Arabidopsis thaliana: one gene and its partners. The protein of the gene in region 1 interacts with the protein of each later gene in a pairwise test. Each region holds a gene or a part of one and is shown in the gene's direction. Other genes may lie near its edges. The genes, in order: AT5G41500, AT5G49760 and AT2G28990.

Region 1 (3,753 bases):
CTACAACTTGGTGTGCTATAAGTTCAAACCTTTTTTCAAATAACCTGCAAATAACTTCCTCGATTCTTGAACTTTTAACAAACAAGTTCATCTTAAATGCCTATTCTGAATAAACCGTAAGCACAAACAACCTTGTCTAGGTCAGTAAATGCATTAATGACAATCTCATATGTGTGGCTGTTCCAGTTCGTCCCCGTCTCTTTGCATAGAGTCTTAGCTCGACAAGATCCCAGATCTAAACAATGCCTTAGTCAATATATTGTATATATGTAACTACCTTAGGCTCAAAACCTAGCTAGCTTGTTCATAGAAGACATCATCGTTATGACTCCTTTCAATATCGTTCTCCTTGTATAAGCCATTGATATAGATATTATAGGTATAACAAACATCAGGATCAGCTCATCAAACTACTTGTCTACTTTCGGGTACTGCCCAACAACCACGCCTTGCAACAAACGATTGTGTAACAAACAATATCGGACTTCCTGAAAAGAGAAGTCACAATATACCAGAGAAGTGAGAAACCAAGCAGCCATGGAATCCCTGAAAATAGATTCCGGTGTATCGAACTTCTTAGAGAATTCAAGGTGTTAGTCTGTTAGAGGTTTTCAACTAGCGTTATGATCAAACCCAGATATTCTTACCGCCCTTACCAAGAGGACATGTTCAGTTATGCTCTTGGATATGAGAATAGGAAATCTTGTCGTACCGTTAATTTCTTGAGGTTTGTAGACTATTTACTTCAACGACTCAAAGAGAGTGTTTTTGGGTACGAAATCTACGATTTTGACTTAGATTCATGGACAACTCTTGATGTCAGTCCACACTGGCATATAATATCTTGTGACCTTGGCATTACTCTTAAGAGAAACACTTACTGGCATGCTAGAGAAATGAATTTAGAAGAAAATATCGTCGATCACATAATATGTTTTGATTTTACAAGAGAGAGATTTAGACCGCTTCTGCCTCTGCCGGTTAGCGTTGGGGTTCATGATTATGAATATTTGACTTTATCTCGTGTTAGAGAAGAGAAGCTTGCCGCTTTATTTCAGCACACCGAATCAAATCCATATGAGCTTGAAATATGGATTACAACTAAGATTGAGGCTGAAATGGTGTCGTGGAGCAAGTTCTTGAGAATGGATACGGGACCTGATATATTGGTCACAACTATATGTGAAGGATACTTCATTGACGAGGAGAAGAAAGTCGCCATGGGATTTTAATGAAGACAGAAGACATTCCAAGAACATTTAGCATTATTGGAGAGGCTGGATACTTAATAAATTTAGATATTGGAGTACTCACAAACCAAATGTGTCGGCTACATGTGTGCTCTTATGTTCCAAGTTTGGTCCAAATCAAGAAACCTGCACTACGCAAAAGGATCAAAGACAAAGCAGTTTAGAAAAGCCACGATTTGCACAGAACATGTTGAGACTTGAAGCATTTAAAAAGCAATTCTAGAAGCAAAATATGGAGGAGAGAAAAGGATGGTTAGTCTTAGTTTACTATTTCTTATCTATTTATCTTGTTGTCGAAGCCTAATTTACTATGTTACAAAACTAATTTGGCATTTCTTTCTCATTTACTTTATTTTGGCATTTACGTCAAAAGGAATTTGGAACAGAATTTCCTTTCAATCACTTTTGTTGTTGCTTCATGAATCTTTTCAATTTCTGGATTTGCAGATTGGTTACTGTAAGAAACCTTGGTATTCAAGTTTGTTTATTGAACATAGAAATTAGAAAACAGAATACATAAATACTGTACAAGCTGTTTAACGTAACCGACTCTAATAAACATTCTAATCAAGAGTAAACCACATCTAAACCGGATATGATAACCAATTGATGAGATATATGGAACTATCACTTGTAGTGTTGATAGTTATTATTGATCTTGAAGCCCACGATTGGCCCAGCTTCATTCGTTTAGGGTTTTTGGTATCAATAAGTGTTATATACTTTTCCTTAACGGCAAGATGAAATTTGAGGAAAAGAAAAATAGGGTTTTCGGAAAACCCAACAATGGCGACAACGATCTCTAATCTTCCGAGGGAGTTGATAGAGGAGATTCTTTCTAGGGTTCCCTTGAGAGCCATGAAAGCAATGAGATTAACTTGCAAAAGTTGGAACAATTTATCTAAAAGTGAGAGTTTTATGAAGATGCACATTGGTAAAGCTGCAACAAGAGAAGAGAAGACCATGATGGTTGCGGTGATGCCTCACACTCTTGCTTTAGTGAGCGTTGTCGTCGACGGCGTTAATCCATCTACAGAGCTTAAAGGTCAGTTTAGTTTCCTTGACAAGGAATTCTTTATATATCGAGTCATCCACTATGAGGGTTTGCTGTTATGTATTTTGAAAGACGCTACTAGGATTGTGGTTTGGAATCCGTATTTGGGGCAAGAAAGGTGGATCCAAATCAGATATTCTCACCGTCCACATGGTGTAGACCATTTCAAATATGCTGTTGGATACGCCGACAAGGTATCTTGTCGTAGCGTTAAATTACTGAGGTTTTTAGATTATTTCCACAAAGCATCCGATAAACCATTTTTTTGGTATGAAATCTACGATTTTGACTCTTGTTTATGGACAACTCTTGATATCACTCCACATTGGGGTATATCTTGGACTTACCCTAGAGTTTCCCTTAAGGGAAACACTTACTGGCCTGCTAGAGAAATGAACACAAAAGGTTTCCAAGATCACATAATCTGTTTTGATTTTACAAGTGAGAGATTTGGTCCGCTTCTACCTCTACCTAGGGCTCAAGGATGTCATGTGAGTTTATCTTGTGTTAAAGAAGAGAAGCTTGCAGTTTTACTTAAGCACCGGCTGCACCACGATTCATACGAATATGAGTTTGAGATATGGATTACGACTAAGATTGACGTCGAAATGGTGTCGTGGAGCAAGTTCTTGAGAATGGATATGAGACCTAAGATAAAGCTTCCACTTAGTTTCTACGTTGACGAAGAGAAGAAAGTTTTCATGGGTTTTGATCATGGGGAATATCCCAAGTTATTTCTTAACATCATTGGAGAGACTGGATTCTTAAGAAAATTGGATCTCGGAGTACATGAAGGCCACCGTTCGCCATGCTCTTATGTTCCAAGTTTGGTCCAAATCAAGCATCCTGCAGGAGACAAAATGATAAAACAAAGTAGTTTAGAAGACCGTCGATTTGCTCAAAACAGTTTGAGACTTGCTGCAATTGAAAAGCTCATCAATTAGAGTTATTGATATTGGTATGAGGATGTGCGAAACAAGCAAACGGGATGATTAGGCATAAAATTGAGATTGTTTGCTAAGTTAGCATTTAATGTTATACCTCAATTGTTTTTTTAATGATATTTACATTCTTAGCAAGAAAAGAAAGAAGAAGACATCAACGCTGTTTTTATTTTTTTTTAATTTAGTGTTAAATTATATGCAAAGAAAAAATAAACGTGAATATACGTGAATGCAAACTTTTCATAGCATACTTATAAATTCCTATATTCTCGGTGTATTATCTCGATGCGAACCACACTTGGAGTCCTTCGACATGCTTCTCTACCTTCCCTTGCTTTAGAGTACTCAAACGGTTTCTAACATTTTTATCAATCAGCTTGACCATTTTTTCCGTTGTTGAGGGTCGCTCTCCGTGTCTTCTATCATTCCTCTCCGTCCATATGAAATGTATTGCATTCTCAAACACAAACTTAAGGATGAATCTCTTGGTGTTATCATGAGATTT
Region 2 (7,520 bases), 3.6 Mb from region 1:
ACTTTTTAGGACTGGTTTATTTTGCACCCATTCCAATCGTGGGGTTTTAAGTTTTAACCCGTAAATTATTTTTTTGTTTATTTTGTATTTTTGATACGAAAGCCCATAAATTGTGAAGTAAAAAGGCCCAATAGGCCCATAAAATTGGGAGAAGAGACGATCATCGGACAAACCGAGAAAGTGAAACAACAAAGAAGAAACCTGACTCTTCAGAAACTATTCAGGCGAGAGAGAGAGAGAGAAACAATTTTGGACAAGAACAGAAACGATGTACGTTTTCTGTGATCTCAATATTAGATATAGTATTCCAGTTAATCGGAAACAAAGAAGCAACAATTTGCAAATCACGGAGGTTGAACCACTGGAGGAGTTGGATTCAGTCTGGAAGGAAATCCAAGTTAACCAACAACACTTTTAGATAATCGGAACACTATATTCAATGACTATTTTGATTCCAGAGACTGTTTTGCAACCCAAACAGATCCTGATCTCAAGAATAGCTACCAGAGTAGCTATGAAGGCAGCCGTGTATGATGTATCAAGTTCTTCACATCTTCAGGTTCAAAGCTAGTAAACCATTTGAGAATCCATCCCTGGCAACATTCTTTCCTTTCTAAGACATTGAATTTGATGAGCTTTATACATCTTAGGTAATGTTACTGTTGCACCAGAACTTTGTGATTCCGGCAATACCATAATTTAGGAGTTGTAATTAATCTTCCTTGAGATATTATGCTTGTAAAACACATGTTTAATAAGTTATTCAAGACTTTTCCACAAGTCTTGTTGAACGTTTTTGAAGTTGTTGAGAGATATCATAGAAAATTCCAAAAATAATGAATCGCTAGATCAATCTATATCCAAACTGATTATTAAGACCCAGTCAATACACAAATTGCTATTCTAGCAAATGTAAGTGGTGAGGTGCACCTTAGGCTTCAAATGGCCACGGCGGACTGACAAAACCATTTGCGGGATTGGATCTCTTGTTGTTTACCATTCATAAACTGTAGTCTGTGGACCGAAAAAAAAAAAAATCGCCGTAGACAAACTAGCTACTGATTTTACATACTGTAGAAATAAATTTGGTATGGAGCTGACAACATGGTTTAGTCCGCTCCGCCCGTAACATCCATTCAAAGCCTTAACATATAACGTAGTTAACGCGTAGAGTATTTGAGTGTATATATGTATCCCCTAAACACACGTAGTTGCACGAGTGTAGCTTGTGGACACTAACAGTTTCAGTCCACTATCAAGTTGATCGACAAAACATTATGTTGACATACATCAATAGCTTGATCCTACCACTACAACATTGCTATGATGTTTCTCCACTTCTTGTTGTTGTTGTTGTCCTTGCTACTTGTACTCTCTTAGTCTCCCCTAGCTTGGTAATAAAGTTCATCAATAGCCAAATTTAAAGGTTTGGTCCTTGTAAGCTTGACACAACACAAATTAGTTACACATCTTCTTCTCATAGCTCACATTTATTTATATATGTTTTGCATACCCACTCGATTATTAAATAATTAGTTTTGAAGTTCTAGTCAATATTTCATCAAATCATCATCATCATCATCATCACTGTTGTTGTAATTAGTATTAGTATATCAAGTTGGAAAATGGCTTGTCCTCATTTTTCCAACGAGGCAACGACCATGACTTTATTCAATCTTGGTTGTTAAAAAAAACATATCACTGCATAGTTGATGACCACAACTATATTCCACAAGTCTCTCTTTCTGAGATCTAACGATTTGGGCAAACAAAATCATATTTTATTCTTTGTTTTTGAAGTTTATAGATATTTTTTTTTGTAATCAATAATGAGTGTATTTAATACAGTAGATAAATAAGGGTCCTACTTTAGTTTCGCATCACGACAACTCATATGTATACTTTAATGTATTGTTTCATAAATTGTTCCTTCCCATTACTCAATTGACATTTCCATTTAACAACTCTTCCCAATTGTGAAACCTTTATATCCCATTATCAGCTGTTTTAAGTTGACCAAGTTTTTTCTTATGGTCCTCTTCCTATTTTCTTCTTTTGATATACTTTTTTTTTTAACTCTATTTGTTCAAAGTCTTCGTCTTCTTTTTGTTAACATTATTGTTTACATGTTTTTGAAAGAGAGATTATAATTTTTATTAAGAGATTCGTCAAACCTTTGTGTAGAGCACATGCTTTTTTCTTAGATTATTTTGAGATAGGATCAGAAAACAGAGGAAGTGATAAGAGGTTCTTTTTGGGTTTGAAGATGAGTTCAAGAACTGGAGCCTCTTTGCTCCTGATCTTGTTTTTCTTCCAAATTTGTTCTGTTTCGGCACTCACGAATGGTTTAGACGGTGAGTGTGTGTGGATATATACATATACAACCATATAGATGATGAACAGAGTTTTTCCTAATCTTGAATATTGGTGCAGCTTCTGCTTTAAATGCTCTGAAGAGTGAATGGACCACTCCTCCTGATGGTTGGGAAGGCTCTGATCCTTGTGGAACCAATTGGGTTGGAATTACATGTCAAAATGACCGCGTCGTTTCAATGTAAGGCTCTGTAAATTGTTGCTGCTTCTTCCAATAATGCTCTGCAGACTTTTAATGTTGTGTTGCTTATTGTAGATCACTAGGTAACCTTGACTTGGAAGGAAAGCTTCCTGCCGATATATCGTTCTTGTCCGAGTTGCGGATCTTGTATGTCTTTCTTTTTCTTTCTATTTTTCCTTTCACATAAAAATGGTTTTTGGTTGTTTTCATCTTATTATCCAATCTTTGTAGGGATTTGTCATACAATCCTAAATTGTCCGGACCGCTTCCACCAAACATCGGTAACCTTGGGAAGTTAAGGAACTTGTAAGGAAACACACTATCATTAAATCTCTAGTACACAACTTATGTATCACTTTGTCTTATCTCTTATTTTATCTAACTCTTTTTACTCTCCAGGATCCTTGTGGGATGTAGTTTCAGTGGTCAAATCCCTGAGTCCATTGGAACTCTAAAAGAACTTATATATCTGTAAGATTCTGTGGATTCATGTTATTATAAACAGTCAATTGCATTCTCTAAAACCATTAGTATTAATTTTTGTTTCCTCAATACAGCTCCCTAAATTTAAATAAATTTAGTGGAACAATTCCGCCTTCAATTGGCCTGTTATCAAAACTATATTGGTTTGATATAGCTGACAATCAGATTGAAGGAGAGCTTCCAGTTTCTAATGGGACTTCTGCACCTGGACTTGACATGCTTCTTCAAACTAAGCATTTGTATATATAATCCCAAATCTTTCACTTCCGTTTATTATAATCACTCCTTCTAATATAGTAATTGATCTGACTCTCCTTTGCTTTTTTCTTGTAGTCATTTTGGAAAAAACAAGCTTTCAGGCAATATCCCAAAAGAACTTTTCAGCTCAAACATGAGTTTAATACATGTGTAAGCTTCATATTACATTATATAGCTGAGAGATTTCATAAGTTGTGAGTAAGTAACTAACAAAGTGACTGCATTGTTCGTTGTTTTATCGATAGCCTCTTCGATGGAAACCAATTCACGGGCGAAATTCCAGAGACCCTCAGTCTCGTTAAAACGTTGACGGTGTTGTAAGTAGTAATATATATAGTTCAAATTTTTTATTTATCCTAACGTCTATAATTCTTATGTGTTTTTTCTTGGTTCTAGACGCCTTGATAGGAACAAACTCATTGGAGATATTCCTTCATATCTTAACAATCTCACAAATCTTAACGAACTGTAAGTGAGCAACTAAAGATTTGTTCTTTTGTTTGTTGAAAATAAATGAAAATGAGGTACAAGAATTTGTAGTTGAATACATTTCAGGTACTTGGCCAACAACAGATTTACTGGTACTCTTCCAAATTTAACCAGCTTGACCAGTCTCTACACATTGTAAGTTTTTTACATTTATCATCACTACCAATCTCAAACCTTCATTCTTTACCAATCTAATGCCATGATGTGATTGTAAATGTAACAGGGATGTGAGCAATAACACTTTGGATTTCTCACCCATTCCATCATGGATCTCTTCATTACCCTCCCTATCAACATTGTATGAACATCTCTGTCTCTGTCTTGTTCTCCATTTATCTCCCATGTGTATACTTTCTAAGAACAAAGGGTTTTCTTCTTCGCAGAAGGATGGAAGGGATCCAACTTAATGGTCCAATACCAATCTCATTTTTCAGCCCTCCTCAGTTGCAGACTGTGTGAGTAAAAAAAAAAAAAAAAATGAAGCTGGAAATGAACTCAAGAATTATGAACTTTGTACTAAATTGGGATTCTTTTTTTTTTGGACTTTGCAGTATCTTAAAGCGAAATAGTATAGTGGAAAGCTTAGACTTTGGTACAGACGTTAGCAGCCAGTTGGAGTTTGTGGATTTACAATACAATGAAATAACTGATTATAAACCATCAGCTAATAAAGTCCTCCAAGTAATGTATGTATCCTTGTCACTAATCAAACATGACTTCTATTTGTCTCAATCAACTGCTTAAGTGTTTATATATCTACAGATTGGCAAATAATCCAGTGTGTCTAGAGGCGGGAAACGGGCCGAGTTACTGTTCAGCAATCCAACACAATACCTCATTTTCTACACTCCCAACAAACTGTTCTCCATGCGAACCGGGCATGGAAGCGAGTCCCACGTGCCGCTGTGCGTATCCATTCATGGGAACACTCTACTTCCGGTCTCCTTCTTTCTCAGGGTTGTTCAACTCCACCAACTTCTCAATTCTACAGAAGGCAATCGCGGATTTCTTTAAGAAGTTCAATTATCCTGTAGACTCCGTTGGTGTTCGGAACATAAGAGAGAATCCAACTGATCATCAGCTTCTAATAGATCTATTGGTCTTTCCATTGGGAAGAGAGAGTTTTAATCAGACAGGAATGTCACTTGTTGGTTTTGCATTTAGCAACCAGACTTATAAGCCTCCTCCGATATTTGGCCCTTATATTTTCAAAGCTGATTTGTACAAACAGTTCTCTGGTATGATGAACCCTTGTCACACACACAATCAAACTAGAACTAAAGGTTGTTATTGATAACTCATTTGCTCTGCCTTTCTTTTTGTCACAGATGTAGAAGTTTCATCAAAGTCATCAAACAAAAGCATTCTCATTGGAGCAGTAGTTGGTGTTGTTGTTCTTCTACTATTGTTAACAATAGCTGGGATTTACGCTCTTAGGCAGAAGAAGAGAGCTGAAAGAGCAACTGGTCAAAATAATCCTTTTGGTAAGACAACAATATTTACTACTCCCTTGACTAAAATAGCATGAACAAATTTTCTTTGGCATGTTGCAGCTAAATGGGATACAAGTAAGAGTAGTATTGATGCTCCGCAGCTAATGGGAGCAAAAGCGTTTACTTTTGAGGAGCTGAAGAAATGCACTGACAACTTTTCAGAGGCAAATGATGTTGGCGGTGGAGGTTACGGCAAGGTTTGTGTCTTAACAAATGCCTTCAAATGAATGTAACAACTAATGGCCTTAGTTGAAATTCATGATCCCAAATTTTGATGGTTAAATAGGTTTATAGAGGGATTCTTCCTAATGGGCAACTCATAGCAATCAAAAGGGCTCAACAAGGATCTTTGCAAGGAGGGTTGGAGTTCAAAACTGAGATTGAGCTTCTCTCAAGGGTCCATCATAAGAATGTTGTCAGACTCTTGGGCTTCTGCTTTGACCGGAATGAACAAATGCTCGTATACGAGTACATTTCAAATGGGTCACTTAAAGACAGTCTGTCCGGTAAGATCAAACTTCTATCTTCCTCATGAGGATTTCAGATAGTTCTTGGATGCTGAATATGTTAGTAATGCAGGGAAGAGTGGGATTCGATTGGATTGGACAAGAAGACTTAAAATAGCACTTGGTTCAGGCAAGGGCTTGGCTTATCTTCATGAACTTGCTGATCCTCCAATTATACATAGAGACATCAAATCAAATAACATATTACTTGATGAAAATCTAACCGCAAAGGTTGCCGACTTCGGTCTCTCCAAACTTGTGGGAGACCCTGAGAAAACTCATGTCACAACACAAGTCAAAGGAACCATGGTGAGTAGAAAATTTATCCTCCTTTCTCTTTTTTTCTCAAATACATTTTAAACTTACAATATCTTTGTAATCAGGGCTACTTGGATCCAGAGTACTACATGACGAATCAATTAACGGAGAAGAGCGATGTGTATGGGTTTGGTGTGGTTTTACTCGAGCTATTAACCGGTAGAAGTCCGATAGAGAGAGGCAAATATGTGGTGAGAGAGGTGAAGACAAAGATGAATAAATCTCGGAGTTTGTATGACCTGCAGGAGTTGTTGGACACAACGATCATAGCAAGCAGTGGGAATCTAAAAGGGTTCGAGAAGTATGTAGACTTGGCTTTGAGATGTGTGGAGGAGGAAGGAGTTAATAGGCCATCAATGGGTGAGGTTGTGAAAGAGATTGAGAACATAATGCAGCTTGCGGGATTAAATCCTAACTCAGATTCAGCAACGAGTTCAAGAACGTATGAGGACGCAATCAAAGGATCTGGTGATCCTTATGGCAGTGAATCGTTTCAGTACAGTGGGAATTTTCCAGCTTCAAAGCTTGAGCCCCAATGATTGATTATGTTTCTTTTTGTTATTTTGTTATTTCGTAAGTGACTTCATACTTGAAATGCCTTGTGAATGTGGAGTAGCATGATTCTGTTTGATATGTGGTCGCTGATTATAAAGCAGATGAATGGAGAGCCAAACGCAGAATCAAAAACCACCAGATCTTTGGCAATGTCGACACCAGTTTCAAACATAAGAAAAGTAATCAAGCTCAATGTATGATGAATAATTGAATATATTAATTCTTGTTGAGAAGTTTGTGTGGTTTCAAAGATTTAATCCACACATCACACACACTTTTAATTTACTCCAAACCTTTCACATTTATGCATGAGATTATATTACAAATTTATATTACAAATAATTTGTAGTACGTAAGTAAAATTAGTATTAACTAATAAGAAAAAAAAGTAATAAAGTTATTGGGTTTGCAACCTAACACATCAACGATCCCATCGAACAACAACAGTTACATGACCCAGGGTGAATTTATGGTTGTCGTCTCATCTGAGAGCACTCTCTGATCTAGTGTCCTTGTTGTCCACACCTCAAACACGCCCCCAAAATGTATGACATGATTTAACAAAAAATAAAAAGAAACATGATTTAAGACATGTGGTGTGTGGCAACTCTGCCATATATTTCATGGTGAGGTAGCGAACCGGCACCAAGTTTTTCTCGATATGTTTCCTCCATTTACCATTCTTTACGGTAGACTACGGTAGACTCATAACTTTTTTTATACCGGAGTCATATCGTATTAGTTTCTTAAGAGGATTAAAGCACACATATGTTTTTGTGTCTTATTTACTACAAAAAGTCTTTTTACTAAAACACTAACAAAACAAAAATAACATACAAAAAAAATAAGAAAAGTGGTGGGATG
Region 3 (7,422 bases), on another chromosome or scaffold:
AACCGATGTGATTCATAATTAGTTATAGACGACCAACCACTAAAAATAGACGAAAGTAGTTCAGCTGATCTGCCCTCCTTGACTCTCGTCTCCAGAAGACAACCAAATTGCATAGAACTGTGATTCACCCAACTTTTGATAATGGAATGTTTAGAAGATTTATTTAGACCACGGACATTCCAAAAGAAACCCGACATAAAAATTATTTCTTTTTATGAGCCCTATGACCTGAAACACTAGGGTTACCCTTCGTGTTTTGATTCGCAGAGCTTTTGACCACCTTATGCTGAGACTTTGAGATTCGTGGGATGTACGGACGAGTCCCTTGAACACCAACTGAATCTGAATTATCATTTAATTGTTGGGAGAGAACAACAATTTCTCCTTCCTCATGACCGTTTGTGTCAGCCGTGTCCTCCTCCACTGCTAGGACATCAAAACGAGAAGGAGACGCATGATTAACTACTTCTTGAGGTTGAGGACTCCTCTGCCTGCCTACCTTAGCAGGCGATACCGTGTGCCAGGGACCTTCGTCCTTCAAATTTTCCTCGTTTTCCTCTGCAACTTCCTTTCCCTTATTCTGTAAAACAGTCGGATTCTTCATTGGAACTTTCTGAGTGTGAGAATCACCGTTTAGCGTTTTTGTCAAAGTAGCCGAAGGAGATTTCGATAGTATTTCGAGAGGTTTTTCTTTCATGAGAGGAGGCTCTGTTTTATCCTCTGTTTCTATCTCCGTTGGTGTGGATAGCTGATTGGGTGATGGACGCGTTAGACAAACCTCTTGTATATGTCCCCACTTAGAGCATGAAGAGCATCTCGGCGGCAACCAAGGATACTTATATTCGACCATTGCATCAACGCCAGTTTCAGATTTAAAGCGGAATTGTTTTGGCATTTCCTGTGTTAAATCTGCTTCTACAAATACCTTAGCTTCCTCAAAACTGTTGCACAGAACTGTGTCAGGGTGAAGCTTTTTTGGTTCCCCAATAGGACTTGCAAGAAAACTCAGACCCTTCCAAGTAAACATTGAGCGTGGAACATTTTTAATGGTGATCCACATTGGCATTGTTTTAATTTCTGGCTGAGCATCCTCAGCAACCGGGGACCATTTAGAAACGATCATAGGCATGTCAGCTATGTTCCACATTCCTCTGCGAAGAACCCTAGCTCGGACTGAACTCTCTCTGATTCGGAATTTGATTGTTTTAGTGTCTACCACATATGCGTCAATCTTTACCGTCTTGTCTCCAAGTGGCCAGATCTTGTTCACAATAACGTGAACTTTTGCAATATGCGGAGATATTTGTGGAAACCGCCCTATGAGCAAATCATCCCACAATGGTGTTGAATCTTCAAAGATTTCATTTGGGACTTGGACAATCGAATCACCGTTGACCATTGTTACGTTGAATTCATGCTTCGAAAGGGTTGGTCTATTCTGAACAATTGATGAGTATGATGGTTTGGTCGTTTCTGGGGAAGCTTCTGAACTTTTCGATGTGCTCTCCACCACCATCGCCGTCGACATGATGGGGGAAGACGGCGGAAAAGCCGCCAGATCTGCCAGATTGGGACACACGGTAGTGAAACCCTAAATCGCCTTCAAAATCGCCCTGCCACGTCAGCCCTAATTTTTTACCTTTGATTGATTGGTCTATGATTAGTTTGCCGCTGAAAAAATCAACAAAATATAATGTGTCAGTGAATAACATGATTTTTCTTTTTAATCAAAAAACATGATCTTTGTATACTAATTCTGAAACTTAATTATATATATTCGATCCAATCTAGTAAACTAGTTTATAGGACGGGATCCAAACGAAATACTTATCCACGAAAGAAACCTTTATATATCTTTGTGCTCGAAAGTTTTCTCATTCGTTATTTTGGTGGCTGACTACTAAATGAAGATATACCAAATGATTTTTCTTCACTCAAGCAATTTAAGCACATAGACAAAGTAAGATCATCTGGCGATAAACCATACATTCGTGGAGGAAATATTCCTACACATGACGAGTCTCCTGAACATATACAACTATTCAACACCAGATTGATTATTTCCACGATCATTATTTAATTTTCTACCCGGAGTTGACTTTTGTATATTTCATTCCAACTTATACATGAGGTATCTCTCAGTTCCATATCTTTTGCAGTTTTCCCTAAGCAAGTCTTTGTTTTTTCTTGAGTACTAGAGAAACCGGATAGTGATCGAGAGAGAACATGAAGATTCACCTTTTGTTGGCCATGATTGGAACCTTTGTCGTTATAATTGGAGCCCAGGATCAAGAAGGTAATGATATATACCATCTCTTTCTTGTTTATAAATCAATCCTTTGACTTGTGATATGTTATATAAGAATGTATCAATATCACTTTTCCCATTTATTGCTTTTATATTTGAACAGGTTTCATCAGTTTAGATTGTGGATTACCTAGTGACGAATCTCCTTACGATGATTCGTTTAACGGATTAACATTCACATCGGATTCCACTTTCATCCAAACAGGAAAAATTGATAGTGTCGATAAAGATCTTAACATAAACTTATCAAAACAATATTTGACTCTTAGATACTTCCCAGAAGGAAAACGTAATTGTTATAGTCTTGATGTCAAGCGTGGCACAACTTATCTCATCGTGGTTAGCTTTGTATATGGAAATTATGATGGTCTTAACCGTGATCCAAACTTCGATATCCATCTTGGTCCCAATAAGTGGAAAAGAATAGATTTGGATGGAGAGAAAGAAGGTACAAGAGAAGAGATCATACACAAAGCCAGGTCAAACTCTTTGGATATTTGTCTTGTTAAGACAGGAGAAACTTTGCCAATAATTTCAGCCATAGAAATACGGCCACTAAGGAATAATACGTATGTTACACAATCTGGTTCGCTGATGATGTCTTTCCGGGTTTATCTTAGCAATTCAGATGCATCTATAAGGTAAGTCAATCTATTTGAAGCATTCAATGTGACGTTTTTCTTTTGAATAAAATTTAACATTATTCTTTTAAAAAATGTGAGGTTTTTCTCTCTTTTTTTTTCTGGAGAAGATATGAATGAGGGGATATGTTGACTTTACTTGTGTTAAAAACATCATTGTTGAATGATGTGTTCAAAATTTTAAGACTCCAACGTAACTACATTATGCCAAAACTATATGGCAAGTCATTGTAACAATTGAACAAAGAACTAAGAACAACGAACTAGAAATAAAAGATACTAATATGAGCTAAGAAAACAAATTTTTTTTTTCTTTTTTTTGTTCACAATTAAAACTAAATTAATTAATTGAAAGAAAATAAGCAAGAACCAAACAACCAAATCAAACATACAAAAGACTAACATTATTGTAAATCAAACTAAACAAGCAACGATAAATGAAATTGAATGATTGAATTCATTATTAAAAAAACGAGCCAAGGTGATTGACTCGGATAGTTGCCAACTAACTTAGTTTTTGGTATCTTAGTTTCATAGACTAGTATTTGGCTAATACAATTTACTTATTAATTTATGTGGCTAATAAAATTTATTGTAGGTATGCTGATGACGTCCATGATCGTATTTGGTCTCCATTCAACGGATCTTCACATACACATATAACAACTGATCTCAATATAAACAACTCAAATGCATATGAGATTCCAAAAAATATACTCCAAACTGCTGCCATACCAAGAAACGCCAGTGCGCCGCTGATTATTACGTGGGATCCACTACCCATTAATGCGGAGGTATACTTGTACATGCACTTTGCGGAGATTCAAACCCTTGAAGCCAACGAGACGAGGCAGTTTGACGTTATCTTGAGAGGAAACTTTAATCATTCAGGATTTAGTCCAACCAAGTTAAAGGTATTTACATTATACACAGAAGAACCAATGAAATGTGGTTCAGAAGGTTGTTATTTACAGCTAGTAAAAACACCGAACTCAACTCTGCCACCTCTGATCAACGCTATTGAGGCATACAGTGTTATCGAGTTCTCACAATTGGAAACAAGTCTTAGTGATGGTACGTACCTCTCAGCTTTCAATATTACAGGAATGTAACTTATATTATAAAGTATAAGCTATGATATTGATTCTTACATTATATTATAAAGTATGATATTGATTGTTACGTTCTCTTAATAATTGTGTCAGTGGACGCTATCAAGAACATCAAAAATACTTATAAGCTGAATAAAATCACTTGGCAAGGAGATCCATGTCTCCCTCAAGATTTGTCGTGGGAAAGTATTAGATGCACCTACGTAGATGGCTCCACTTCACCAACAATCATTTCCTTGTAATGTCATTCACAAACTTACTCTTTAATTTAAAATTTAAATATCTAAATATTTTGTATGTGTTTTTGTATTATTAGAGATTTGTCGAAAAGTGGATTAAATGGGAGTATACCCCAAATTTTACAAAATTTCACGCAATTACAAGAACTGTAAGTATCTCTACTGTTGATCACCTGAACCAATAATGATTTATTTGGACAGAATATGTAAGACAATTTCTTTTGTTTGTGCATATAACCACAGGGACTTATCAAATAATAGCTTGACTGGACCGGTGCCTATCTTCCTTGCCAACATGAAAACGTTATCTTTAATGTAAGCTATCTAAAAAGCATAAATGAACATTTTGACCTGCGTATGTATGTATATATAATGGTTATCTTTGTCTCAACAGAAACTTAAGTGGGAACAATCTCAGTGGTTCAGTTCCTCAAGCTCTTCTTGACAAAGAAAAAGAAGGACTTGTGTTAAAGTAAGATTTCCTTTTCCATAGAGGGAATGCATTTACTAATCATATAGTAACAAAGTAGAGGAACTTCATTTTTGGAGACTATTTAACTGCTAGATCTTTCTTAATTAAGAGAGTTCATGTCGATTAAATTATCGCAAAATATGGTACCTGACAGTTCGATTATTGCCTTTCCTATGCAAGCTATTTACAATTTCAAAATATGTCATATTCATTGTAGACTTGAAGGAAATCCAGATTTGTGCAAATCCAGTTTTTGCAATACCGAAAAGAAAAATAAATTCTTGCTCCCGGTTATTGCATCAGCTGCCTCTTTGGTTATTGTAGTTGTGGTTGTGGCTCTTTTTTTTGTCTTCCGAAAGAAGAAGGCCAGCCCTTCAAGTAAGTTATGAGCCATTAATAATTTGTTTACCTGCTATAAAGCAATGCATATAGTTAGCATATAACCAAATATACTATCATATGTAGATCTACATGCTCCACCAAGTATGCCTGTATCGAATCCCGGGCACAATAGTCAATCAGAATCATCATTCACATCGAAAAAAATTAGGTTTACTTACTCTGAGGTTCAAGAAATGACAAATAACTTCGATAAAGCTCTCGGTGAAGGAGGATTTGGAGTCGTGTATCATGGTTTTGTTAATGTTATTGAACAAGTAGCAGTTAAATTGCTATCACAATCATCTTCTCAAGGCTATAAGCATTTCAAGGCAGAGGTACCCTTTTTCTAGTAATTCTCAATAGATATCCAATTGATTTGTATATCTCTAAGAGTGTTGGATGATGGATGATTGGTTAGGTGGAACTCCTTATGAGAGTTCACCATATAAATTTGGTGAGTCTTGTTGGGTATTGTGATGAAGGAGAACACTTGGCTCTTATTTATGAATACATGCCAAATGGAGACTTAAAGCAACATTTGTCAGGTAATATCACATATATAATTGTTTTCTTAATAAAACCTAACCATGATATAATTTTTTTTTCTGAATAATTAAAGATCATAACTAAATTGATATGAAGTGTGTTTAATTGATACAGGAAAGCATGGCGGATTCGTCCTGAGCTGGGAAAGTAGACTAAAAATAGTTTTGGATGCAGCACTAGGTATTCATTAAACTTTAAGACAAATGTTTAGTTAATAATTACAGCTTTTATGGGTATTAGTATGGCCTCGACCGGATCAGAAAGGAACCATATGATGATATCGAAATTAATCTCCATTTTCCAATAAACGATGGTATTAAATTTAATATGTAGGATTGGAGTATTTACATACTGGATGTGTACCACCAATGGTTCACAGAGATATCAAAACTACGAATATACTTCTAGATCAACATCTCCAAGCTAAATTAGCTGATTTTGGGCTTTCAAGATCTTTTCCCATCGGAAATGAGAAAAATGTGTCAACTGTTGTTGCTGGTACTCCTGGATATCTTGATCCTGAGTGAGTATAACTTCATATGTTAGTTCCAAAATCACCATTCCTTTTTTTTACTTTACAATCACAACAATTTCTTGTTTTGCAGGTATTATCAAACAAATTGGTTGACAGAAAAGAGTGATATATACAGTTTCGGAATTGTACTGTTAGAGATAATTTCAAACCGTCCTATAATCCAGCAATCCCGTGAAAAGCCTCACATAGTGGAATGGGTCAGTTTTATGATAACAAAAGGAGATCTTAGAAGTATTATGGATCCAAACCTCCACCAAGATTATGATATTGGTTCTGTCTGGAAGGCCATTGAATTAGCAATGTCATGTGTGAGTCTTTCTTCTGCAAGACGACCAAACATGTCTCGAGTTGTGAATGAATTAAAAGAATGTCTTATATCCGAAACCTCTAGGATAGGTGAGGGACGAGACATGGAATCAAAAGGTTCAATGGAATTCAGCAGAGACATTTATAATGAGGTAATACCTCAAGCTCGCTAGCTCGTCAAAATTTATTCTTGCTGGTTTTTCTTCTCATGAATATTCAAATTTGTGTGTTTCAAGAGTGTCTTTCGCCAATAATAACTAAGGCTTTCACTAATAACATGTAATACTGATGTTGAATTGTCGTAGTGTGATATATATTTTGTGAAATACATATGGTGAAATTTATTGAAATTATTTCATGAATTTGTAACCCACAACTAATTCTCGTCTTTGTTTCTATCTCAAGAAATGCATTAGGTTGTTCCCACTTTCGGTATTTTGAAAACCAAAGGAAGAGTTGAATATACCAAAACTTATGTATTTCCTTCAAAACTTAAGAGCTGTTTATATTTCCTTCAAAAGAAGATAAATAAAGAAGATATAAATGGTCTAATAAACCAAAAGTTGGTCAAAATTTAGTCTAAATATAAAACATGAACGTAATAGAACTTGTTTACAAGCGTATATCTCGTTGATCCTGAGTTTAATAAGATGTATAATAGTAAATGTTACGAAGAACTCCAATAATGAAATATCACAAGACAGATTTATCTTGTGGAGAGGGTTCATCATGTAAATGTTTTTTTTTTTTTCACCATGTAAAGTTGGTAATTCTTGTTGTATATTGTTTTAACGAAGACACACTTCGACCTAGTCTAGTACACAACCAGTGGAGATTTAAAACAACATCTATCATTCAAATTGGACAAAGAAATAACCGAAT

The links.
Region 2: the proteins of AT5G41500 (region 1) and AT5G49760 interact in a protein complementation assay, tested with the Arabidopsis thaliana proteins (one large-scale study listed by BioGRID).
Region 3: the proteins of AT5G41500 (region 1) and AT2G28990 interact in a protein complementation assay, tested with the Arabidopsis thaliana proteins (one large-scale study listed by BioGRID).

What each region holds. Positions count from the first base shown.
Region 1 is NC_003076.8:16,601,966-16,605,718, forward strand, and holds AT5G41500 (F-box and associated interaction domains-containing protein), read left to right. Parts: upstream 1-2,036; coding exon 2,037-3,248; downstream 3,249-3,753.
Region 2 is NC_003076.8:20,214,413-20,221,932, forward strand, and holds AT5G49760 (Leucine-rich repeat protein kinase family protein), read left to right. Parts: upstream 1-1,919; 5' UTR 1,920-2,266; coding exon 2,267-2,354; intron 2,355-2,433; coding exon 2,434-2,554; intron 2,555-2,629; coding exon 2,630-2,701; intron 2,702-2,785; coding exon 2,786-2,860; intron 2,861-2,953; coding exon 2,954-3,025; intron 3,026-3,111; coding exon 3,112-3,276; intron 3,277-3,370; coding exon 3,371-3,445; intron 3,446-3,540; coding exon 3,541-3,612; intron 3,613-3,691; coding exon 3,692-3,763; intron 3,764-3,850; coding exon 3,851-3,919; intron 3,920-4,007; coding exon 4,008-4,082; intron 4,083-4,167; coding exon 4,168-4,239; intron 4,240-4,335; coding exon 4,336-4,470; intron 4,471-4,546; coding exon 4,547-5,022; intron 5,023-5,112; coding exon 5,113-5,268; intron 5,269-5,337; coding exon 5,338-5,474; intron 5,475-5,563; coding exon 5,564-5,783; intron 5,784-5,856; coding exon 5,857-6,092; intron 6,093-6,166; coding exon 6,167-6,640; 3' UTR 6,641-6,970; and 1 more. UniProt on the Arabidopsis thaliana protein: Leucine-rich repeat receptor protein kinase that acts as sensor of extracellular hydrogen peroxide. Required for intracellular calcium influx in response to extracellular hydrogen peroxide.
Region 3 is NC_003071.7:12,452,829-12,460,250, forward strand, and holds AT2G28990 (Leucine-rich repeat protein kinase family protein), read left to right. Parts: upstream 1-1,808; 5' UTR 1,809-2,226; coding exon 2,227-2,296; intron 2,297-2,411; coding exon 2,412-2,949; intron 2,950-3,547; coding exon 3,548-4,023; intron 4,024-4,154; coding exon 4,155-4,299; intron 4,300-4,377; coding exon 4,378-4,449; intron 4,450-4,543; coding exon 4,544-4,615; intron 4,616-4,694; coding exon 4,695-4,772; intron 4,773-4,989; coding exon 4,990-5,150; intron 5,151-5,237; coding exon 5,238-5,488; intron 5,489-5,571; coding exon 5,572-5,698; intron 5,699-5,813; coding exon 5,814-5,879; intron 5,880-6,032; coding exon 6,033-6,222; intron 6,223-6,304; coding exon 6,305-6,713; 3' UTR 6,714-6,877; downstream 6,878-7,422.